3 linked regions of the Cricetulus griseus genome follow. The protein of the gene in region 2 interacts with the protein of the main gene of each other region in a pairwise test. Links are inferred from orthologs where the notes say so. Each region holds a gene or a part of one and is shown on either strand. Other genes may lie near its edges.

Region 1 (4,877 bases), on a different chromosome or scaffold from region 2:
AACACAATCTGGCCAGGAAAACTCCAAGAGGCTGGTTGGATAGGCATCTCCAGTCATTATTGTGGGGGGTTGGGAGTGAAGAGCAGGCCTCGGACAAGTTGACTTGGCAAGAGGAAGACATGCAGGTAGGTGGGAAGCAGGCCTGGAATTGCCTGAGCTGCAAGTGAGGAGATGTCCAACTCTGGCAGGATTCCAACCAAAGGTGGCCCAGGGAAGGGGGGGGGGTCTCACCTGGATCCCTTCAAGGAGGAAAGATAGGTGCTCTCTCGGGCTACTTGGCGGGACAATGAGAAGAGTTCTACCCTTCGAAGTAAAAGTGTGTTGTCCCTCATGCAGAACTGGGCAGCAGCCTCGTTGATGGTCAGCTGTGGCAAGAGGACAGCCAGTGTGAATGCCGATTCTCCTACTGTTTCACCCCTTCACCGCCAGGGGGGAGGGGGAGCCCATCCAAGGGATGCTAGCTTTAAATAAAACCCAGGAACATCCCGAAGGTTAGACGGGAGGGACTCATAGCGTCCCAACCAGGACCTCCTCTGTATCTGAGGGGACTTCAGCAGCTGGACAGTTGGGCTCACTGCCATCTCAGCTTGCCCTTCAGCTGGTGGAGGTACAACAGCAGCTGGGGCTGGGAGTGTGTGCGTGCATGGAACTCGGGTGGCCAAGGGGACAATGATCCAGAGTTTGAGGATGCAAGAATTCCCAGGGGCCAATCGACTGAACTCCAGAAGTTAAGGGCAGTCCTGAGAACCTGGGCCCTCACCTCATGCAAGCTGAGCTGCTTGCCCTCGCGCCGCTTGGAGTCCAGGCGGCCATAGATGATGCTGTACTTCCGGATCTCCTCTTCTTTCTGGCTGTCGTTGTCATCCATCTCAAAGATGTGGCCCACACTCCGCGCCAGCTTCTTATTCAGCTTCAGCAGGGATGTGACCTCTCCAGCATCACCCCTGGGGAAACTCCGGAAGATCCTCTCCACACTCTCTACCACCATCCGTACCATTTCCGGTTCCAGGCGGTCTGGACCACCCCCAGTCCCACCGGCAGCCATCCCCACCGCCCCAGTCCCCTCGGGGACTCCTCCCGATGCAGGTGGGGAGAAAGGGGGTGACCCAGCCTCCTCTTCTCCGCCTGCTCCAACGTCAGATTCTGGAGTACTCTGGCCCGGCCAGATCCGGGGATCCCCTGCTCCAGGTCCTCCAGGAAGCGGTGACAGCTTCTCTCCAAGTTCAAGGGGACTCTTGGGACTAAAACTTCGGGCACTGCCTGCCTTTTCTCCCGGGCTGCCGTGCCCATTGCTCATGCTCCCTTTCCGAGTACCCGCCGTCTCAGAGATCTTGAAAAGTGGGATGCTGGAGACGGGTACAGCAGGCACTGGCTGGCTGAAGAGCCCTGGGTTGGTGGCCCACTCTCTCAGAGCCTTCTGTAGACGTCGGACATGGAGTGGTTTGGTGGCCATGCCCACAAGTGCCATGATTTCCAGAAACTCCTCCTCACCGGCTTCACACAGCTGCTGCACATCGTCCCCTCCCTGCTGGATGAAGGTCTCGTAGTAGGAAAGGAGGTTGGCACGCTGCAGGACCCGATACAGCTGCAGCTCACCCAGCGTTCGAGGCAGTGCCATGGTCGAGGCACTTGCCCTGAGAAGGAAGGGCAGGAGAGGCAGTGAGTACAAGTGCCCTGCTGGGTACCAACCCACACTAACAATTCTCCTCTCTTTTCTGCCTCCTCCTCCTCATCCCTTCTCTTTTGAATGCCTTCTCTGCCCAGTGCCCAAGGCCGAGTACTCTGAGAACTGAGTATTGCTCAGAGGCATAGCCGTGCCCATGCCGGCAATCTCAGACTAGCCAGAAGCACCGAAAACCAGTGCCCTATCTACAGCTGTCGGGAAACCCCTTACCTCATCTTTTGCTTTGATCTTTCTGGTCTGGGGCAGCACAACCTTGAACACGGAAGGCCCACTAGCACTTCCCTGAAATGGCTAGACCCACTTTACCCAAAATTACAGTCCTTCCCCCTCCCCCACTCAGCAGCCTCAACGTTATGCATGTAACATCCCACATTAAAGTTAACTTAGGAAACGAGGGGCTACTCCTTGCCCAGGTAGCTGAGAGGAAGGGGTGTGGCCTCTTCCTTGGCTTTTCAGTGAACCTATTGGACCTTTGGCGCCTCTGCTCTCAGTTTTCTGAGATTAGAAGTTACCAAACCCTCCGAGTATCTGTCTCAACTTTCCAGGCTGCCCGGTACCCTCCAGTTGCCCCCCTCCCTTCATGTGGCCCTCCCCACTATTCAGCAAGCCCCTCTCTTCTTCTCAGGCAATGGGGGAGGGAAGCTTTGATTGTTCTGCTCCGGGGCCCTTCTTCCCACACACTCCTACAGTGGCAGCGTCTGTGGGCGAAAACCGCCTGGGGGCTCCCGCCTACTCTCGTCTCCCTTATTTTCCACCCTAATCTTCTGAAAGGGAGTGAGGGAGCGGCTGAAGGCCTCCTGAGGAAGGGGCTGCCAAGGGGAAACTACCCCTCCTTACGCTGTGGTCATTTAATGAGAAGGGGCGCCTGAAGCACGCCCCCTTCAAGCCCCAAAGACGGCCCCTTAACCCAAAAGAACCCGGACCTAGGGATGGTGCCACCTTCTAGTGACACTGAACCAGCTAAGCGCCCCCACCCCTCTCACTGTTGTCAGATCAAGGTCTGGAGCTTTCCCCTGGCGCTTGGGGACATTCTTTTCAGGGGGCTCACGTGCCAGGTCATGCCCACTGAGCAAGCCTGGAATGGAAAACGAGGCAGTACTCTAGCGTATCCAGGTTCATCCGGTCTTTGTTTGCTCCCAAGGTCCCCTAATTCGAACACTTACCCCCTCTTCTATCAGTCTCCACCTCCCACCCCCTTGCAGCCTCCCCACGTCCTCTTTGAGACCTCCACCCTCCCGGACCCCATTCCCGAGTCCAGCTCCACCCATCTCCACTCCCCGACACCTCCTTTTGCCCACTAACTTGAGTCGGGGCTGCGGGGTCCGGCGGGTGTTATCCCCTCTGCCAGGTGGCTGCTCCGCTGTAGGAGAGGGCGCTCTGTGCATGGAAGGCCAGAGATCACCCGAGCCTCCCCTCTCGGTTCCCGGCGCCTGCTGAGCGCTGCGCTTTGCCTGGCGCGCGCGTCCCCGTCCACCGCTGTCCAGGCTCCGTCCCTCCCTCCACGTCTCCTCTCTCCGAGCCTCCGCGCCTCTGTGTGTGCCTCTGCCCCCACCTCCCCGGCTGCGCCTGCCGCCTCTCCGCGCCTCCTCCCCCGCAGGACGCACGGGGAGCGAGGCCGGGCGCTGCGCTGGCTGCCGGGCTGGCGGGAGGAGGGCGTGGGCAGAACCGGGGGCTGGGACCGGAGGCGGGGGGTGGGAGCCGAGGCCTCCGAGAGGCTGTTGAGGGGACTGAGAGGAGGAGACTTGGGGGTGGGGGAAAGGTGTGGAGCAGGAGGCGGAGGCGGTGACTCGAGAGTCGGGCGCCAAGTTGGGGACCGAGGTGGCCGAGGCCGGGCTGTGGAGGGCGGGAGCTTGGAGACCCAACGGGCGGGGCAGGTCGCTCCATGCCGCCCACGCCGGATGCACAGCCGGCCCTCTCTGCGCCCACGTACCCACGTGAGCACCCCGCCGGCTACATTCCTACTCCCTGCACCACTCCTACCCCTGTGAGCCGAGAGCGCGGTTTCACAACCACGCACAAGTATACAAAGACACCGAAGCGCACTTACGTGCACACAGGCGTCCAAACAACAACGACGCGGGCGCCCGGTGCCCACAACTCCGGCACTCTGGCACTCCGGCCGTTGGCCGTTCGTTTGAATGCTAGGAGTGAGCGGGGAAAAGTTGGTGAAGGCTCGGGTGTGAGGTTCCTCTCCTCCTCCTAGGATGCACGCTTAGGGTTAAAAACCTGTGGGTGTGGGGCTTCGCAGGAATTCCTGCCGAGCCTGGCCACCCTTCTCTGGCCCTAAAAGTTGTAATTTGAAGAGGCGGCCCCCAGAAACCTTGTCGTCTCCCTGCCTGTCTCTAGTTGTCGAAGTTTAATAGATGGGTTATGCTAGAAGCTACAACTTCCTCGGGCCTCCATTAGGCACGCACGTCGGGGTTTGCTAGGTAGGGCAGGGATGGGGATACCCCATGCTTTCCTCTATTCGTGGCACCGTTTTTTGTGATGACCAGGCCTTATTGCTTGGACGATTGGGTGGCAAAGGCAGGAAAAGGCGGCTACGTTTTTCTGGGGTCGTGTGTCATCGGACATCTCTGGACACCCTGTAAGGGAAGGTGAACGACTAGACTGCAAGACAGCCCACCGTGGAGGAGCGCCTTCAAGGAGCCCAGCCCCCTCCGTTTCTTCCAGCCCCATCTGGTTCCCATTACACACGCCCACGGCTAGGAGGGCTGGGGGGGGGGGGGCTGGGCACGCAGGGCCGTGCAGGCCTTGGGGAAAAGGGCGGTGGGAAACGCTGCGGACTGGCCACAGGCAACATCCCTTTAGTTCCAAGCCCCAGCCCCGCCCCTCGGCTCCGCACTTGTGAGTGGCTCGCCCTGCCAGGGCGTGGGTGGCGTGGGCCAGGGCGGGTTCTACATTCCACATTCATTCCAGACTGGCCAGGGAATCTCTCTCGGTTTCCAGTTAGAGGGATGGGTTCTTTTTCGAGTGGGGAACGATTTCAAGAACTCCGGGGTTTTGTCTTCATCCCGTTAAATGCCCAACGCGGTAGGGAGGAGCAGCACCGGCCTCCTTCCGACCCCGTTTGCCTGCGAGACCAGACGGCCTCCCTAGGAGGTACCCGATCCCTTCGGGGTGTGTGGCGCCCTTCCCCCACTCCCCCGTCCGGTTATTTTGGAGTCTGGGCTGCCAGCGCCGTCCCGGGTTT
Region 2 (4,871 bases):
GCAGTCCTGTCCGACCAGGCCTCTCTCTGCCTGATCATCTTTTGTTCCCCTGAATCAGCCCAACATGAATCCAGATTCAAACACGATCTGAAAACACCATGTCACCTACCCAGGCAAAGCAATGGAAGGCTCTTAATTCTCACCTCACGAAGTCTAGGATTGTTTTTCTTCCAGTGGTCATATAAAAGCTGTTCAGCAATCTATGGAGAAAACACAGAAGAACACCATACATCGATGTTCAAATCCATTCACCTAGACAAAGCCAATAGAAGTCAGCTGAGGTCATGACCTCCATTCAGCAATGTCAACACATCTGTCACTCAAGTCTGCTTTCCTTACACACAAGTCTGGGGACAGGATATCTGAGCAGAATGGACCAAGAGCTAGCTAAAATCTGATGCTATGGCTGGCTTCCTTCTAGGAGTTTCCAAGTCCATAGCAAGTTGAAACACACAGACTGAGGCTAGTTACCATAGCCACTTGAAGATAAAATACAGTGTTCCCAGACCTTTGTGGAACCACAGAACTGAGCACAGGAAGGAGGAATCACTTGTAGTGATTTGTAAGGCAGAGAAGGGAGCTACCACATATCAAACACTCCCTGTAAAGACACTTAAGAGTGGGCCCTGGCTTTTTGTCGGCCCTCACTCTTGCTGGCAAACTCATTCACCCTGTTCTGTGGCCAGTATTAACTCCATTCTTACAGAAAGAAAACCAGATGTTAGCCATCACACACCTTTAATCCCAGCATTTGGGAGGCAGAGGCAGGTGGATCTTTGAGTTTGAGGCCAGCCTGGTCTACACAGCGGGTTCCAGGACAGCCAGGGCTACATGTGGTGGTGATACATTATTTATGATTTAATAAAAAGTGTCGTAGGTAGAGAAAGCAAAGCCAGTCATTAGCTCTTAGCTCTACCTCAGGTTGAAAGGGCTGTCCTGTCTCCAGGAACTCTTCACCAAGCCTCAGACTGCTGCCTCTCCTCAGCGTGGCTGGAGAATAAACCTCAGAATTCAGCCTGAGACACTGGGCTCCTGTCTTTTATAAACCTCTCTAGGGCTGGGATTAAAGACATGTGATCTCAAGTGCTGGGATCTAAGGCATGAGAGCTCTGTTACTCTTCACTCTTATGTAGGCCAGGGTGGCCTTGAACTCAGAGAGATCAACTTGCCTATCTCCTGAGTCCTGGGATCAAAGGTGTGTACCACCACTGCTTGGCTTCTACAGCTAAATAGTGGTCTGGCTTTGCTTTCTGATACTTCAGGCAATCTTTATTAAACATAAATGATACATCACCACAGCTTCACAGAGAAACCCTGTCTCAGAAAAAAACATAGCTGTCCTCCCCACCTCCGGCAAATCCTTAACATTCTACCATATCTGGTTCTGATCACAGGCTCACATTTTAAATGCTTGCCCTCAGCCAGGCACGTTATTCACCTTTCATCCCAGCATGAGGAAGTCAGAGGCAGCCAGGTCTCTGTGACTTTGAGGTCAGGCTGGTCTACAAAGAAAGTTCCAGGCAAACCAGGACTACATGGTGAGACACGTTCAAAACAGCAACAAAAAACCAACAGCAAAAATAATTGCTCCCCAGCTGGTGGCACTATTCAGAGGAGCCTGGGTGCCTTTAGTGGTGAGGAATTAGCTCGAGGAAGCAGCCCCCCCCCCCCGGCATGTCATTGAATGTTATAAACCAAACCCTACTTCTAATGGCTTGAGACCATCTAAAGCCAAGAGCTAAAATAGACTTTTTCTCCCTAAATAAATAAAGTGCTTTCCCCATGGACTCTTAGAATCATCTGGCCAACTCATCTGACCAAGGCACCCAAGAATAACCCCACAGATGCAACGGTCAGTTCAGCCTTCAGACACTCCCACTCTGCAACCTTGTTTGGGTCTAGGCTGGTTACCAGTTTCCTTCGTTCTTCTCGGGCTGACTTCAGATCCTTGTGCTGTTCCCTGATTTTTCGTTCCTGCAGGTTCACATTCAACCTCAGCTCTTCCAGCTCAGCGGCCAGCAGGTCCTGCTCCTCCAGCACAAGCTGCCTGAGTCTCTCACGGCGGGCTTCCAGACTCATCCTCTTCTCCTCCTTCATCTTCTCACGATGGTAGGCGTTCATGCTAGGTAAGGAGCCCACTGAGAATCAGCCACACCCAGGCCACAGTTTCATATGCATTTCTATATATGTTGGGGGGCGGGTATTTAAACACAAACACCTACAGAAAAGATGACTGATAGATTTTATCTTTCAAAATGCATGTTATTTCACTGGTTATTCTACACACACACACACACACACACACACACACACACACACACACACACACACACCACCCCATTTCCAGCTAGAATAGCATCACCATATAGATTACTCATGCTGTCACAAGCCACAGTACTTAGGCCCTGAGGCCACATGCCCCCAGCAGCTAATGGTAGGAATCAGCAGGCAGGACATTGATACTTGCCTCCTTTGGTAGGAGGTCTTGGAACTCCATTCGGCCAGTTTGGAGCTGTGGATGTCCGTAGTCTTGAAATAACGGCTGTTCTGCTCCCACTGCTGGCGAAGCTGGGCCTCCTGCTCTTGCTGGCGTTGGCGTGCTACCTTCTTGTCCAGGGGTCTCCGGGTGAGCCAATAAGAGGGCAGCGTGGGGAGCGCCATCTGAAGGGGACATCAGCGGGCAGAATCGAAGCCAGCTGCAAACTCAGGAACTTACTTGGATGGTCTCCTGTCTTTTACGAGGGCGCTCGCCCTTTGGCTGCACCTTTATAACAGCTTTAGGATCCACATTGCCACCCAAAACTTTACAACGAGGCCCAGGCCCGCACGTTTTAAATGATGTGCCACTGAGGCTGCAAATTATCAAATTAAATGAACCTGGACTGTGCCCGGCAGCGAGCCAGCCATTATCAGGGACGTTACCGACACAGACATCTTCCTGACAAGGCCGGGAAAGGCATAAAATGACAGGGGCAAGCAGGGCTCCGCGGCAGGCCCCAGCAGCCCCAAGGACTTTGGAGGCCGAAGCAGGACGAGATCACTTGAGTCCAGGAGTTCAAAGCCAATCTGGGCAAAACAGGAAGCCCTGTCCCCAGAGCAACAAAAGTAACTAAAGGCGATGACTTAGTTATCAGTGTGTGCGAGCACCGGACATGCACCCCATCCGGTGTCCGGAGACCTCCGACCAGCGAAGACAGCGGACGTCTCGGCCCAGCCTAGCCTCTGACTTGTGTTTCCCTGCACCCCAAGTTCTCCAAGAAGAGGCTCCGGCCTAAGCCCGAGCACGCGCTCACCAGATCCGAGAGTTCTGTGGCGCCAGCGGCAGCGACGCCAGCCGTTTCCCCTTCGGTTGCCCGGCAGCCCGCGGGACGACGGAGGCCGCGAAGGCCAAAGTACCTCCTGCACGACGCAGCCGCTCACCAGGAAAAAGAAGGGAAGTTGTTGTTCTGGCGCCCCCTCGCGGTAGGAGGAAAATCGACAGCAAGTGTCGCTAGGTGCCAGAGTGAGTCATGACCCAGAGTCAGGGTGGCGGTCCCCGGGGTGGGGGTGAAAACCAAGGGAATAGGAGAGAGGAGAATTAAGCCCATGTTTCTCAAATAGGGCACATCAAAATCATCCAGGGAGACGCCCCGAGGGAAAAAGAAATGATTTTCAGTGCTCCCTGGGTGTTGCCCGGTAGGCAGCAGAGGCCAGTAACAGCTGGTCTGGGTAATTACAAGTCTTTGGTAAATTCCTACTGATGTCTTGGATTACTGGTGGGTACAGAGGTTTTAATAACTGTAACTCACATGATTGCACGTATTTATGCATTAACTATTCCATTTTTAAAAAAGCAGGGCTGGGGAACTCCGCGATTGTGTGTGCTTAGCAAGTGCAAAGCTCTGAACTCACAATCCCCAGCACCCAGCACCCAGAATGCTGAGACATGAGACATAAGACTATAAGTTTATTATAAGGCCCGGCAGAGTAGGGAGACTAAGAGAAGAGGAACAGGGTAATGGCTGACTGCCATGGTCGGTCACCATAGAGAGACAGAGAGAGAGCATAGGTGGGAGACAGAGTAGAGAGAAAGCAGAGACAAAGCAGAGTGGGGAAACAGAGAGGAAACAGAGAGCATAAATGGGCAGGGACCTGTCCTTTTAAAGGGGTCCTCTGTATCTGCGTGCAGACTTAGTTCCCATGGAATCTTGGGCTGACCAGGGTACTGCCTGTTCCACCAGGTAACAGGAGCAGGCCAGCATAATGCCTGAACCTTTCATTCCCACCTCTACTTATTATTTTAAAAAGGTGGGGTGTTAGACATGGCAGGTTAAGGAATAAGGGCGTCGAATTCTCAAGACTGCTTCCTGCTGATGTGGGGGGCGTTGACCATCTTTGGGGGACCCGAGAAGGTTGGGGTGCTGCCACGTCCTGGGGAAGCTGGTTGTTTCATTGAAGTCCAGGCTGTATGGAACTCCCTGATGCCTCTTAGACCTGGCAAGATGTTGACAGAGCAGAGGACAAGGTTAAGTTTAGAAAAAAATTTTTTCTTAGATCCTGTCACTTGAGGGGAAGATTGTAAGATGAGGGAGGGGTTCCTGAGGAGTCCCAAGATGAATGAAGGGAATTTGGGACCGGGGAAAGGTTGAATATTACATGAAGTGAATCTGACCTGTTTGGATCTGATTCGGCTCCCTGGAACTTACAAGAATCCTTAGAGTTTGTGGAAACATAAGTATTAGACATGTTAGAAGCATATTCATGTTAGAAGCAACTTGGCTGAAAGTATTACCATTTAAAAATAGACAGATTTTTTTGGGGGGACCATGAAAAGCATCTTAATCTTGACCTTGTAGTTATGTTCCTATAGTGGTATTGTTGAACTTTACTAT
Region 3 (4,876 bases), on a different chromosome or scaffold from region 2:
TTGAAGACACAATGAGGCATGAATTGTTTTCTTACCTTAATAGCAAAATACAATTTTGTTTTAATATAATGCCACTGAACTAACAGAATGCAACAAATATCAGTCACAGATGATGCACACATTGCAATAGTCTTAACTCATATGAAAGCAAAGGTCAAGATTCATCAGACAGCTAAGTGGGTAAAAGCACTGTCAGTGAGCCTTAGAACCTGAGTTCAACCCCCATAACATATGTAAAAGAAGAAGAGAACCAACCCCACAAAGATGCCCTCTGACCTCCACGTATGGGTCATTCGTGTACATGTTCTGCTCACCATCTCTGTGTAAACCATATACATATACACTCTCACAATAATATGTTTTAATTTTAAAAAGAAAGCAAATGTTCAAAATAAAAAATTTAAGATTGATCCCTTTTATCACTGCAGAATTTCTTCGTAAAAATTAAAACAAGCTTGCAAAAAATATTAAGCATCTAAGGAATTCATTTGTTCTCAAGGCAAGGAATGATATTTGCCAGCGTGAGTTAATTTAAATAGTGTTGATTTACATGCTCAAAGAAATGTGTCACCCTGCAAAATTTGTTTGTTTGTTTTGTTTTGTTTTATTCTTAAACTATTAGTAAGAAAGCTGGATGTCAGGTCTCAAACCTGGGACAATTGCTAACATATCAAAGTGGACCTGGCCACTACATTATCCTAGTATTCCTCAGTCCCTAACTGTTACAGGGTATGGCTGACATAGCCCACTTCCTAAACTTTTCCAGCCCAGGGGTTGGGGTGCCCTTTCCCCAGATGCCCTTGTCTATATAACCCAGACATATTGGTTACCAAACCCTTTTTGTTTACTCTCTACTCTCCCGGCTCTCCCCTTGTCCCTCTCCTCATGTGACCCAGCTCAGGATCATGTTCACTCTGGACTCTGATGTACCTGCCTCTGGCTATACTCTCCCCGTAAACTTTCTCCTCCACCATACCTAGGAGCAGTCATGTCTCTTTTATTTTTGTTTGTTTTTGTGTTTGTTTGTTTTTAGTCACTGATCAATTTGTTGACACTAGGAACAATATCAGCTGTCAACTAAAAACAAGTCAAATGCTTTTGAGCATTTTCTCTCAGCTTTTGTTGAGTTTTGTTTGCTTACTCTATTTAATTTTTGACAGTCTCACTATGTAACCTAGGCTAGGCCAGAACTTAAGATCTCCTCCCTCTGCCTTCCCAGAACAGGGATTGTAAGTGTGTACCACCTGCCCAGCTTTTTCTCTGGCTTTTGTTTAGGAGAGGATGCTGCAAAGGTGTCCATGAATTACTCTTGGAAACCCATCAGTGCTGAGTTGTAAATGACCTCGAGGAAGAAGCCAAATCCTCAGCCTCCAACTCAAACACTTCAGGGAGCAAGAGAAAAAGAATGATCTGCTACTTCTCATCTCAACACACTCCCTGTTAAGCCCTTTTCTGTTGGTTCAGCTCTCCTTCTCTTATCTACTTCTGCCCACCCATCCACTTCTTTAACTAACCATAACATCTCTTGTAGAATGTCATCCTACATTCCACACCCCCTGCAAATGAAATGCTTTGGGTTCAACATGCAGAAGATTAGCTTTGCTGGCTAACACAGCTATGAAAATGTTGAATTTCTAGTGTAACTAAAATTTTATTCCAGTAGAATGAAGTAGACGCATCAAAGGCTGTGAAGTATATCCCCATAGTGAACTCATTGTCTTGGGAAAGAAGAACAGCTGAGACTCCCTGCTTCTCTTCAGTAGAGACAGATCTAGCTGTAGAGGAGGACAGGTCCAAGTGGGCAGCACTACTACAGATGCTTGGCCTCCAAATACTACATCATACTTGTTTCAGAAATGCTTAAGACTGTAGTAAGATGACTCAGGTAAGGTACCCAAGACAACATGAAATTCAGTTATATTTTATCTTCTAACTGAAAGTAATCAAATACCACATTTTATCATTTTGCTATGTGAAACAAAGTTTAACGATGTGTAATTTTCCATTCCTTGACACCATGTAAGCACGCAAAAAGTTACATATTTAGAAATATTTCTTGTTTTGGGTTTCTTTTTTTTTTAGGTCAGGGATGTACAACCTACCCTTCCATCCTCCTAAGGTATTATTTCAGACCTTCATCATTCTTTCCATCCCTCCTACCTCATCACTTGATTCTTAAGTATATGGTCCTGGTTGATTCTTACCTCATAAAGTCACACCAAGTCAGCTTTCAACTTTGTGTCACAAGCCAATACACCCACCTACACCTAGCCACCTATGCTTTGTCTCTGAGCTGCAATAACAGAAAGGTTCATCCACTTGTTTTCCAGGCCCATTGCCTCTTTTTACAGTGGATAGAAGGTTTTAGATGGTTTTTTCGATTTTTCTATTACGTGTTCCATGTGTTCCTGAATCAAAATAAAACCCATTTCCCTTCCCCTCACAAACCCCGTTAAAGCATAATGCTCACTCACCATCCCCCTTCTTACCCTCTACACCTCACACTCACCACTGTTCCTGGAGAGACTGCCTGGGCTATAAATGAGCACCAGCTCAGCAGTGGTGCTGTTGACTATTCTCTGAATTGTTCTGTTTCCTCGTGGCACTGTCTCTTCACAAAAAAAAAAAAAAAAAAAAAAAAAAAAAAAAAAAAAAAAAAAAAAAGGATGGGGATACTAGGGAGCAATGTCTGAATGACCAGAGCCTGGGAGTATTTCCAGATGTGGGTTGTAGCACACCAAGGGTGACACTGTTAACTTCCATCATATTTGAGTGCTTGTCTTACCTGCTGAAATAAGAGTTCCTCAGCTTTGAGTCGCTCCAGCATTTCCTGCTCCATCAGTGCTAATTCTCTCTCATGCTCCAACTCAATCATCTCTTTCTGTCTCTAGCAATTGGTAAAAAGCAACAGCACACAACTTATTAGAGACCAATCTGTTAACACAGTCTCAGAGGCATCTCAACCACCAGCAATAAAAGAAGGGCTAAGAACATAATGCTCTATTCATTTGGAAACTATACAACAATTTGGGGGATTTTTATGATTTAGCCAAACAAAGAACACACAATTAAGATTATACATCAAATATAAAGAAAAATGAAACCAATCTACAGACAAACATGTCAGGAAAAGACACTACTGGGTTGAAAATACTTAAAATCAAAACAGAAGCCTTCTTTCTGTTTTCTCTCCTCTCTGCATTCACATACTGTCCAAAGTTTTCATATAATAAACATTATTGTAATGGAAAAACAATATTGAACATAAAATGTAAACAAGATGAACCAATTATCATGCTCTTCTAATTTCCTGAAAGGAGATCCATATTTACCAATTGCTCCATGATCACATTTTGCTTGTACTTATAAATCCACAAGGCTAAATATTCTATTGGATCCAATGGGCGGACTCTTGCCACTTCAGCGAGACCTTGAGTCAGGCATGTCCCCAGGCACTTTTGAAGATATGATGACTCCATTTTTAATTCCTAAATAAAATGATCTATAAAAGTTTTTCATTAGAGCCAAAAGTGTTCTGAATAGGCAGAGTTAAAAGTAAAGTCAAGCTAAGCAGTGGTGGAATTCATCTATAATCCCTGAACTATGGAGGCAAGTAGGGGCAGGCAGATCTCTGAACTTAAGGCCACCTTGGTCTATAGAGAGAGTTCTTGGTCTACAGAGAGAGTTCCAGGTCTACAGAGAGTACCCAGAGAAACCCTGTCCATATATATATATATATGGCTACCGGAACATTCCACTCTGTCACTAGTCATGGGTATTTCTTATTAAGGATGAAATAAGCAGGCTGGCCCAAGGAAACTCCAAATGGTCTACAAAAGGTCTCTGCAGAAGTCATAGTGAAAATAGCTACTACATCCTGACAGTTCTTGTTTAGTCCCAGGGTCAGAAATGGGCACTAGTGTTATTCATCACATTGTGCCAAGTAATGCTGGTGCCAGTTAATGCCCACAACATCTCAGGCAATGGTCAGACAGGGAAGCAAACTCAAAGAGCTTTAGTGAACAGTCCAGAGCACTTGACTGGCATGTGAATGTATGGTTTGTACCCACTGCCTGACCTCAGAACCTTAAGTCTATTGACTCTAAGATGCTTCTGCTATGTACTTCCATAAAACATCACAAACTGTCCATCTCTTCTGAAAAATCATGTATTGTCAAAGCCAGAGAATACAAATTCAGATTCCAATAAACAGCATGCAATTACTCATAATCTAGCCATAAACTTTAGGCTTACCTCAAGCACCTGCCTGTCATCATCCACCCTAGGCCCTTACTCTACCAAATATTCTGCCATTCTACACAACACACCCTGCACTTTTCCAACTCCACGATCCTCCCTCTATTGTTGGAACATGGCTCCTCACCTTCAAGGTACAGACCAGCTCTAGCTCTAAGAGTTTTTTCAACCAGTACAAGAAGGTTCCTCCTGCTTCAAGTAGTTCATACAGCCTTCATCATGCTGCCTGAGATGAGAGAGAGAGAGAGAGAGAACATGCATGCATGTAGGCATACCATGCACCTATGCTTGTCTTTCTTCTAGAAGACAGACCCCTCTAGGTTCCCAAGGAGTATTTTGGTCACAGGGCTAACAGCACTGAGCAAGTTTGTGCCCACTCCCAGCTGTTTCCCAGTCTTTTCAGATATGAACATTGTTGCATGGCTCCTTCTGGGTTGACTATTTCTATTTACCCCAGAAGGATAAAAGACTGAACATATGATTCTACTCAAGCTCAGAATTGTAACCCAGTGTATTTATTGGGATTGCCCACAGAAGCTACGGTAAGAATATATGTTCCAGTGAGAAGTTTACTAATATTGCTTTGTTAAACGTATGTAATCTGTCTGTCAGTTGCCTT

Evidence for each region. The genes of interacting proteins can lie anywhere in the genome.
Region 1: the proteins of Tchp (region 2) and Nab2 interact in binary tests that used the Homo sapiens proteins (3 or more experiments, as listed by UniProt). The two-hybrid records come from large-scale screens. The link is inferred for Cricetulus griseus from reciprocal best matches to the Homo sapiens genes TCHP and NAB2.
Region 3: the proteins of Tchp (region 2) and Dydc1 interact in binary tests that used the Homo sapiens proteins (3 or more experiments, as listed by UniProt). The two-hybrid records come from large-scale screens. The link is inferred for Cricetulus griseus from reciprocal best matches to the Homo sapiens genes TCHP and DYDC1.

Annotation. Positions count from the first base shown.
Region 1 is NW_023276806.1:130,077,726-130,082,602, reverse strand, and holds the start of Nab2 (NGFI-A-binding protein 2), read right to left. Parts: upstream 3,480-4,877; 5' UTR 3,070-3,479; coding exon 2,987-3,069; intron 1,635-2,986; coding exon 761-1,634; intron 366-760; coding exon 232-365; intron 1-231. UniProt on the Homo sapiens protein: Acts as a transcriptional repressor for zinc finger transcription factors EGR1 and EGR2. Isoform 2 lacks repression ability.
Region 2 is NC_048597.1:94,317,771-94,322,641, reverse strand, and holds the start of Tchp (trichoplein keratin filament-binding protein), read right to left. Parts: upstream 3,439-4,871; 5' UTR 3,294-3,438; intron 2,697-3,293; exon of another isoform or gene 2,662-2,696; coding exon 2,468-2,661; intron 2,123-2,467; coding exon 1,912-2,122; intron 201-1,911; coding exon 144-200; intron 1-143. UniProt on the Homo sapiens protein: Tumor suppressor which has the ability to inhibit cell growth and be pro-apoptotic during cell stress. Inhibits cell growth in bladder and prostate cancer cells by a down-regulation of HSPB1 by inhibiting its phosphorylation.
Region 3 is NW_023276807.1:179,044,594-179,049,469, forward strand, and holds the start of Dydc1 (DPY30 domain-containing protein 1), read right to left. Parts: upstream 3,480-4,876; coding exon 3,333-3,479; intron 2,888-3,332; coding exon 2,786-2,887; intron 1-2,785. UniProt on the Homo sapiens protein: Functions as part of axonemal radial spoke complexes that play an important part in the motility of sperm and cilia. Plays a crucial role during acrosome biogenesis.